Canis lupus familiaris: one gene and its partner. Each later gene encodes a partner of the first gene's protein in a complex. Links are inferred from orthologs where the notes say so. Each region holds a gene or a part of one and is shown in the gene's direction. Other genes may lie near its edges.

What was found.
Region 2: MEFV (region 1) and ZBP1 share a complex: the UniProt entries of both Homo sapiens proteins name them as parts of the AIM2 PANoptosome complex. The link is inferred for Canis lupus familiaris from reciprocal best matches to the Homo sapiens genes MEFV and ZBP1.

The regions. Positions count from the first base shown.
Region 1 is NC_049227.1:38,415,043-38,419,540, forward strand, and holds the start of MEFV (pyrin), read left to right. Parts: upstream 1-1,564; 5' UTR 1,565-1,646; coding exon 1,647-1,923; intron 1,924-4,498. UniProt on the Homo sapiens protein: Involved in the regulation of innate immunity and the inflammatory response in response to IFNG/IFN-gamma.
Region 2 is NC_049245.1:43,334,548-43,339,146, reverse strand, and holds the start of ZBP1 (Z-DNA-binding protein 1), read left to right. Parts: upstream 1-1,684; 5' UTR 1,685-1,898; coding exon 1,899-1,959; intron 1,960-4,583; coding exon 4,584-4,599.

The DNA.
Region 1 (4,498 bases):
TTGCCCTGAAGGGGTGCTGCAGAGATTTCAGGAGACAATGGATATAAAGCAAGCTGTGCCAGGCACAGAGTAAGCACCATTGTGTTACCGACAAAACATCCACAAAGCCAAAAACTTCATGAGAAATGCAGAAAGCTTAAGCCAGGACACATAAGTGATGCCAGCTAAGTGCCAGAAATATCACCATTTTTCAAGTATCATTGTAGCAATTGATATCGGAAAGGATTATCAATGAATGCTAAAATCATGAGGTGAAAGATTGTGGGAGAACAAGACATTTCCACATGCTCAGGTCACTTACTAGTCACAAAGAAAAAAATGTCCTTTTACAATGGAGACATCTTGAGGATGCCTGAAAGTACCTTCAGTCTAATAATGAGGAAATCTTAATTAATTAAGGGACATTTTGCTTGGAATGGACTTTTCAAATACATTGTCTTGACAGAATTTTAAAAGGCTGGAAAGTGTGAAAGTGTTCTAGCAGAATCAGACTATAGAGATGTGGCAACTAAAAGTAGTGTTTTTTCAAAACAAAAAAAGCCGGGGATAAAAATCAGGGTATACAGAAAGACAGAAGCTGTCAATTGTGGAAGAAGTCCACTTACCCCACGTACCACTTCCATTAGCTCTGGAGCAACTTCTGGAGACCACACTGGGACATGAGCTCCAAAGGACACCTATTCCTTTTTTCACCCTTGTTTCTCCAGCATCCTGGCATGGCGTCTAAAATATGTGTTCAGGGGCACCTGGCTGGCCAGTCAGTAGAGCATGTGACCCCTTGTTCTTGGGGTTCTGAGTTCAAGCCTCACACTGAGCATGGGGCTTACTTTAAACACAAAAAACAAACAAACAAAAAACTTGTTCAATAAAAGTGCATGGACAAGCACCCTCCCTCATGGGGATGCTCTCGGGAAGCCAGGGCAGAGTAGGGAACAAACAAATCAGGATGACAGTTCCACACACAGCATTTGAGGCCTTTGTGATGCTGAAAGCACCAGACAACTGGAATGACATCAATAGGGGTGACACCAAGGCTGGTGGCCTGGCAGTGCCCTCCGGCTTCACCTCCTTCTTGGGCAGAGAAGGGCAAAACTTGCAGGGCTGCACTTGTTGCCCCCCGCAACCCTCATCATTTGCTCTGGAGGGTCCATAAAATCCTGAGTCTGGAGGAAAACGATTGGTCAAAAAGACTGACTCTCATTACGGTCCTCTGCAGCATGGGACCAGGGGCTTTGTTCCTGCTCCCCACACCCATATCCCGGGAGAAGGAGAGACAGAGGCATCTGAGTGCCTTCCCAGGATCGAGACCCTGGAATCCAGCCCCAGGCCCTCCCTCACATACTTACGCACTGCTCTACAGGCCAGTATGGGAAGGTGAGGGCTGGGGCACTATAGGAACACATGGCTGGCAAGGCCTTGAACCCTCCTAGCTGTGAAGGCCTCCAAATCTGTGAGAAAGAGAACACAAGAGTCATCACTGGAAACAAACAAACGATGACACTCATAGCTCAGTTCTCGCCAGAGTGCAGAGAGCATTTCCTGTGCTTTTCCGCTATTTCACAAGTGGCTTCTTTTTTACCCACCCTCTGGGTTCCAAGACAGAGGCTGTTTCAGACTGCTGGCTCCAGCCTTTCCTGGTCAACACCATGATCAAAACCCCCAGTGATCATCTGCTGGACTCCCTGGAGGAGCTGCTGCCCAATGACTTTGAGAAGTTCAAGTTTAAGCTGCAGAACACCAGCGTGGAGAAGGATCACTCCCGGATCCCCCGGGGCCAGGTCCAGAATGCCAAGCCAGTGAAGCTGGCCAATCTGATGATCAACCACTACGGGGAAGAGAATGCCGTGCGGCTGACCCTGCAAGTCCTGAGGGCCATCAACCAGAACCTCCTGGCAGAGGAGCTTGACAAAGCGATTGGCCCAGGTAAGCAGGTCCCATGCCCCTTCCTTTCGCAATGCAACTGCTGGCTGTTCATGGGGTGGGGTACAAGGTGCAAGAGGGAATTTGTGTTTAGACCAGTATGTTGTGACTTGAAGCTTAGGAGTCCCAGGTCTACTATGACTCCAGTGACACTGACTGACCAAGTCCTTTCTGCCACTAAGGTCTTTGGATCTGGGTTAGTATAGCTAAGGCTCCCAATGGCTTTTAAAAAAAAAAAAAAAAAAAAAAAAAGGTAAAATAAATAAATAAATAAATAAATAAATAAATAAATAAATAAATAAATAAATATGAGGAGGAGAAAGGCTGAGATTCTGACTGCAGGGCAGAATCAGGAGAGGCAGCTCTCTGTGTCTCTCATGGGTAAATAAATCTTTAAAAGAGAAAAAAAAGAATCAGGAGAGGCAGGAACTAGATGCCTGATCTTAGAGGGTCCTTAACTTCATTGTGATTAACTCCTATGTACCCACCAGTATCTTCAGAAGAGAAAAAAAAATGCTTGCTAACTGCCCATATCAGCAGGGTCAACAAGTCATCCTCACAGTGAAATCTACCTAATTTCAGTTTTGAGCTCTTCTCTGACACATTTCACAAAGATATTCTAAAATTCTCAATTCTTTTCCTTCCTTTATCTTTTCTCTTTCCTTGTTTTCCTTCCTTCTCCTCCTCCTTGTTCTTCTATTCCTGTTTTGTTGTAACTTCCTTATTTCATCACACTGTGATCAGTGAATGTGGTCTATTGAATTTTTGCTTCTAAAGACTTTTTTTTTTTTTAAGATTTTGGGGAGGACCAAATACATGATGGGCTTAAAAAACATTGGCTAGTGTTTAAGTATTTCTTCTACTTTTAAAGACTTTAAGGACACATTAGAAATATTTTCCATGTGTTTTTCAGAAGTAGAAATGTTTAAATAACATAAAAGTTCTCTACTCTTTGGAAGAGTGATGGACTAAACCATAATCTGAGTCCAGTGTAATTTGATGAGTAGAATTTTTTTTTTTGATGAGTAGAATTTTTTAAGTTAATTTTCATATTTTAAAACCTGGTTATTAGCATATTTAGCGCTTTTCATTAATTCTAGAGACAGCTTGGGGAACTTGCCTTTTCCTAGGAAGTAAAGTGTTCGCAACAGCAAAGTTTTTTAAAGAGTTTTAAATATCTCTGAAGCAATTTAATAAGAGCCTCTTCTACTAAAATTTAAGGCGCTGATTATGGGTGCTTCATTTCCTTACTAGAGTAGGGTTTGCAAGTTATAGCTGAAGAAGATATTTCAGGAATTCTTTAGAATGTTAACAAATATATAAGGGGATCTCTGGTGGCTTAGCGGTTTAACACCTGCCTTTAGCTCGGGGCATGATCCTGGAGTCCTGGGATCAAGTCCCACGTTGGGTTCCCCACATGGAGCCTGCTTCTCCCTCTGCCTGTCTCTGCCTCTCTCTCTCTCCATCTCTCATGAATAAATAAATAAAATCTTTTTTAAAATACTTAATTCAAATTTTATTAATTTTTCTAATTTGTTTCCAACAAATTTGTTAAAATGTGTCATTCACCAAATTTTGAAATTCTAGAGGCCACCAGGGTGATAATTTGTGCTTAAACTCCTTTTACACAGACCTTGAAATTAAGCCTTTGTCATTTCTATTTAATGAAACTGTATCCTGAAACTTCCAAGCAAGCTGTTTAAGAAAGAAAAATCAGGGGATCCCTGGGTGGCTCGGCGGTTTGGCGCCTGCCTTTGGCCCAGGGCGTCGTCCTGGAGTCCCAGGATCGAGTCCCGGGATCGAGTCCTGGGACCGAGTCCCGTGTTGGGCTCTGAGTGGAGCCTGCTTCTCCCTCTGCCTGTGTCTCTGCCTCTCTCTCTCTCTCTCTCTCTCTCTGTGTGTGTGTCTCATGAATAAATAGATAAAATCTTTTTCAAAAAAAATCACCATTTACACTTACTTATCTGTATGTTAGGATTTTCTTCACATCATGAAACCAAAGAATAAAACAGAAGTAAATTAGTTTCTAAAGTTTTAACTGTCCTTCAAATCCTGTTTTCAAATTTTTGTGCCAAATATAATTCTTCTTTATTAATTAATTTTATAAGTGAATTTTGTACATCATAATCACACCCACATTTATACCAGTAAACTAGAGTTTTTATCTATTTTACTAACTAAGAATTTCGTGTAGGACTTTATACTGAAAACAAGTTCTCATGCCAAAGAACTCTGAAAAGTACTATTTGGGAAATATATAGCAAATAATTAGTATTCTCTTACTTAATGGTAATTGACTGTCATTGCCTAGAACATTCTGAACTTCTGTAATTTATTTTTTGTTTTAAGATTGTATTTATTTATTCATGAGAGACATAGAAAGAGAGAGGCAGAGCAGAGAGCCCGATGTGGGACTCGATCCCCCATCGTGCCCTGAGCCAAAGGCAGATGCTCAACCACTGAGCCATCCAGGCATCCCTGAACTTCTGTAATTTCTGAGGTGATTTTTCCCTTCTCTTCCTTCTCCCAACCCCTGGCCCTGAGCCCTGCACATTCTCATGCCTTTGCATCCTGTTGT
Region 2 (4,599 bases), on another chromosome or scaffold:
GAAACCGAGGCTCAGAGAGGTGGTGACACAGAGCTAGGGAAGGGGCAGGGCTGCCCTGAAGAGGAAGGCAAGGCAGCACGTGTCCAGGTGGCACCTCCCAGGGGCCCTTGGCCTTCCCGGCTAGTGGTTCCTGCTGCGGGCTCCGAGGCCAGGGGACAAGCCCCAGATGGCTTCAGGATGGGGGGGGAGCTGCGGACTGGGGAGTGAGGGGGGCAGAAAGGGGCCATCCAGAACTGTCCAGACAGACACCTGCCATGAGGGTGCCCGCCCGCTGGTCCTTCCAGAAAGGATCTGCGCCTCGGGATTAAGCTCAGGCTGAGCTGCAAGCCTACCTGGCACCTGGGTCAAAGCCAGGGCCTCATCCCCCCCAACCCTAAGAGGTCAGCAGCGAGCAGGGAAGGAGACAAGGAACCAGGGTCAGAGAGGTCAGGAGGGAGGGCAGGGCGGGGATGGGCGAGGTCCCCTCCCTCAGAGAGGCGGCCCAGCCCAGTCGGTGAGCGGTGGTGTCCCCTGGCAGCCAGTCCCAGCTCGCGCCCCCCAGCCTCTGCGGGGTCTCCGCCCACCCCACCCGGCGCGCCTCCCAGTCTCCCCAGCAGCCACCCCCACCCCCGTTACCCCGCATTTAAAATTGATATCACAGGGAGAAACACGTTTTCTCAGCTTTATATGAAAGAGAAACGAAGTGGTTTCCTGCTGCTCCCGAGCTGTGGGCCCGGCGGCCTGGCGAGCGGATGCACTGGGACCTCACCTGGGACCCCACCTGGGACCCCACCTGGGACCCCTCAGGGGCTCGGCTGTGAGCGGCCTGGGTGCTGACCCGGCGGACTGGGTGCACACCTGCCCCCCTTGCTCTGCAAACACTGCTCCACACCTGCCGGCCCCTCCCCTGGCCCAAGGGCGCGGGCAAAGTCCTCCGAGGCCCTGGGACCCCGAGCCCGGGGAGTTGCAGGGCTGCGTCCAGGACCCTCACGGCTGCCTGGCCCGAAGCCCTTCCACCGCGGCGGGCCCCGGTGTCCCCTCCTGAACGGCAGCTCTGAGCACCCCCCCCACCCCCCTGGGGTCGTGGCTCCTAGAGACCAGGTGGACCGGGCAGGTGCCTCTTCCAAGTGTGTGGGTGCCCCGCTGTGCTCACGGCTGGAGCTGGCACTTGCTGGGGGAGGGTCTGGTCAGGCTGTCCAACTGGATTATCCCCCTCCGCCCTCTCCAGGACCTCCTGACATAGCTCCTTTTATTAGCACCATTGTACAGATAAGGAAACTGAGGCGCAGACATGTTAAAGAACTTGCCCAAAGTCACGCAGCCAGCAAATTGTGGGCTGAGTTAGAACCCAGTTTTGGCCAAGTGCCTGCACCAACCTAAGCCTCAGTTTCCCCCCCACCGAGAGAAGTCCTAGCCCCGACCTCGTAGGAGAGTCAGAGGGGCATTCAAGATCGGAAAGCACACAGTAGGTGCTCACTAAAAGCAGCTGTCATGTTGACACACACAATGGTTGCAAGGCCTCAGCACCCCCACCCCTCGGGGGATCTCAGCCTGTGTGGGGAGTGAGGGTGGGCAGCGGTGGGTACCCAGAAGGTCAGGGAAGTCCCATGGGTCCAGAGAATGCTCCTTCCTACCAACACATAGTCAGGGGCCTTGCTCAACAAGTCTGCTTTCAATTTTGTTTCTCTCTGAGGCCACGCACAGGAGTTTCGTTTTCTGTTTCTCCCGAAAGCTGGTCAGGTCAGGCTGACGAGGCCTGTTTCTAGAGTGTGAACAGCAAACACCCACCGGCTGCCGCCTCCTCTCACAGCTGCCAGAGTCCAGCCGGGCAAGGGCTCGCTGCCTGCACCAGCCCATCCCCTCCACGCCGCGGGCAGAGCAGGGGCCGCGGCTCCAGGCCTCCAGCCGCTGCCGCCGGGATGGCCCAGGCTCCGGGCGACCCTGATGAGAGAGGTACTTCTTCCTCCCAAGGAACAGCAGGTGCTCCCGGGGGGGGGGGGGGGTGCACCTCTGCCCAGCTCCTTTCCTGGGCTAGCTGACAGCAGTGATGGCCTGCGGGGTCCCCAAGAGGGGCCCCGAGAGTAGAGGGGAGCCCAGGGCCTGGTGGGGAAGGCAGGCTCTGCCTGGGCACCTGCCAACACCCTCTGCACGCCTTTTAGAAGACCTTGGCGGGCAGCAGGGGGGACACACGTGATGCTGTTTCCATTTTATACATGAGATTCCTCAGGCCCTGCGAGGGGGACCCGGGGCCTCGCAGCTGATGCTGGGGTCCGAACACCTGTCCTCACACTCATTTTAAGAAATAAGAGAAGCTGCTTTGCTTCACTCCCGGACGAATAACCCATAAAAGTGAGCCGTGTATGGGGCCAGGGCTGTGTATTCTAGAGAGCCTGTGGGCTGTGGGCCACATGTGTGGGCTGTGGGTTGACGATGGCTCTGATTTGGGGATTTTTGGTTTTGCTATCACTAGCTGGTTTACTACTCACTATAATCTTTGAGATAGCTGCTCCGATCCCCACTTCACAGATGGAAAAAGTGTGGCACGGAGAGGTCACATAGCCGGTGGATGGCAAGGGCGGGGGCTCAAACCCAGGAGAGGTGCCGTCAGAGGACAGAAAATAAGTCAAGGGGTGGCCTGGGGAGGGGTGCCATCGGGGTGCGCCCAGGGCCTGGGCAGTTTCCCCGGTTTCTCTTCTGCTTCTCCAAGGGGGAGGTGCAAGTACTTGTTGCTCAGTGCCTGAATTTAACTTCTCCCTCTGAGGTTTTCCTCTCCAACCTGTCACTTACACGTCGTCCAGTTTACAACTTCCCATTTACAGACGCATCAGCCTGAAGACTCGGCGCGCGAGGCCAGCCAGCCCTATGGGCTTGGCCCTCACTCTGGTCTCTGAGGCACGACCCCTCTGCTCCTTTGGGGTCGGTGGGGGGGGGGAATGGAGGAGGAGGGAGGGGAAGGCTCACCCGTGGGCAGGCTTTTCAAGAACCAGAACTCTTTTCAAGAGGAGGCAAGCCAGGCTTGCAGTTGATTGGATGGGGATCCCCGGCTGCTGGGGGTGAAGGAGTAGATGCCCCCAGGCGTCCTAACTGCACTTCACCTGCACCCAGCAAGGATGAACATGTCCTGATCATAGGGCAAGCCTCAGAGCCCAGCTGCAGAACCAGCAAATAAATGCCTTATCCCTTCCCCCACTAAGGGAAAACCCAGAAGGCAAAGGATCAGGCTGCTGTCCCACCAGGTGCCCCAAGTCTTCCCTAGAAGGGCCCCACTTTGCATTTCCCTCTGGGCTCTTGGGGACAGACATTTCCTGGTAAGAGGCCGGGCTGCCGGGGGGGGGGGGGGGGGGGGGCCCTCCAGCTCCTCAGGCACTGTCTGTGCCCTGTTCTCCGCTCCCCAAAGAGCTGCTGGCTTGGATTTGTGGGATCCTGTCTGATTGGAACGGAGGCGTTCAGAGAGCTCCTGGGATTCTGCTTAGGGTCATTAACCTCAGGTGGAGAATTAGAGACCTAGTTGCTGTCCACGCCCTGCCCTGGGTCGTCTGGGCTGACACCTGTCCCAGTGGTGAGCAGATCCACTCAGACACTCATTCATTCAAATGCTGTTTCCTGATCGTCTACTGTGTACCCAGCACTGAGTTAGACACCAAAGATACTACAGTGCACCAGGCAATCACAGCAGGGGAGCTTGGAGACATTCTGCAGCCCCCCCTCACACACAGGGCACCCCGATCACTCAGGGCACCTAGGATGGCTCCCCAAGAGAGATGGTGTTTGAGTGAGGTGTTGGGCAGGTGGAGGTTGAGGGTTGAGTAGGTGTTGGGCAGGTGGAGGTGGGGGGGGAGAGTGTTCCTGATGGAGGGAACAGTGTGTGCAAAGGCCCAGGAGTGAGTGGGCTGGAAGGAGCACACGGCTGGCTGGTGCTCGGAGGGAGGCTCTGGCTGCCGAGTGGAGGGTGGGCTGGAGGGATCCCGACTGCAGTCGGGGGAATAGCTGTGGTCACGGAGGTGGTGTACGGGGGGAGGCACAGAGGGGAGAAGATGGGATCCCAGAGAGCCAGGCACCATGTTCTCAGGACTCTCCATAACCCGGCAGCAGGGAGGAGGGCCTGTTTCTGAGCATCTTTAGCTTTCTGGCTTGGATGGATAGATGCACCACTGGCGTGGACGGTGAGCCCCCGAGGAGGGGCAGGTGCTGCAGGGAGGCGGGGACCACAGGCCTCCCTCGCAGCCACTTGGCCTCCTCCCTCCCTCCCTCCCTCCCTCCCTCCCCTTGCTCTCCTGCACTCAATCTACCCCACGCTGCCACCCTCCGCTCCCTTCTGCTCTGGGACATCTGAGGCCTGAGCATCCCCACCTCACCCTCAAGCGCTCACACCAGGCCGAGGATGCTCGGGAGGCTGGGGCACCTCCTCTGGTCACCAAGGTCATTTCTGACCAGCATATGTGTCCCTCCCTGGACAGCCGTGTTGTTAGCGTCTGCTCGGGTCTCTGCCCCTCCCTCTGGCCTGGACCCCTCACGCGGGGACACCTCCCTGCCTCCGAGTCCCCGCTCCAGGCTCGATCCAGGGGAGAATCAGTCCCCTCTCCGCCACTCTCTCCTCCTCCCAGACCTCGAGCAGAGGAT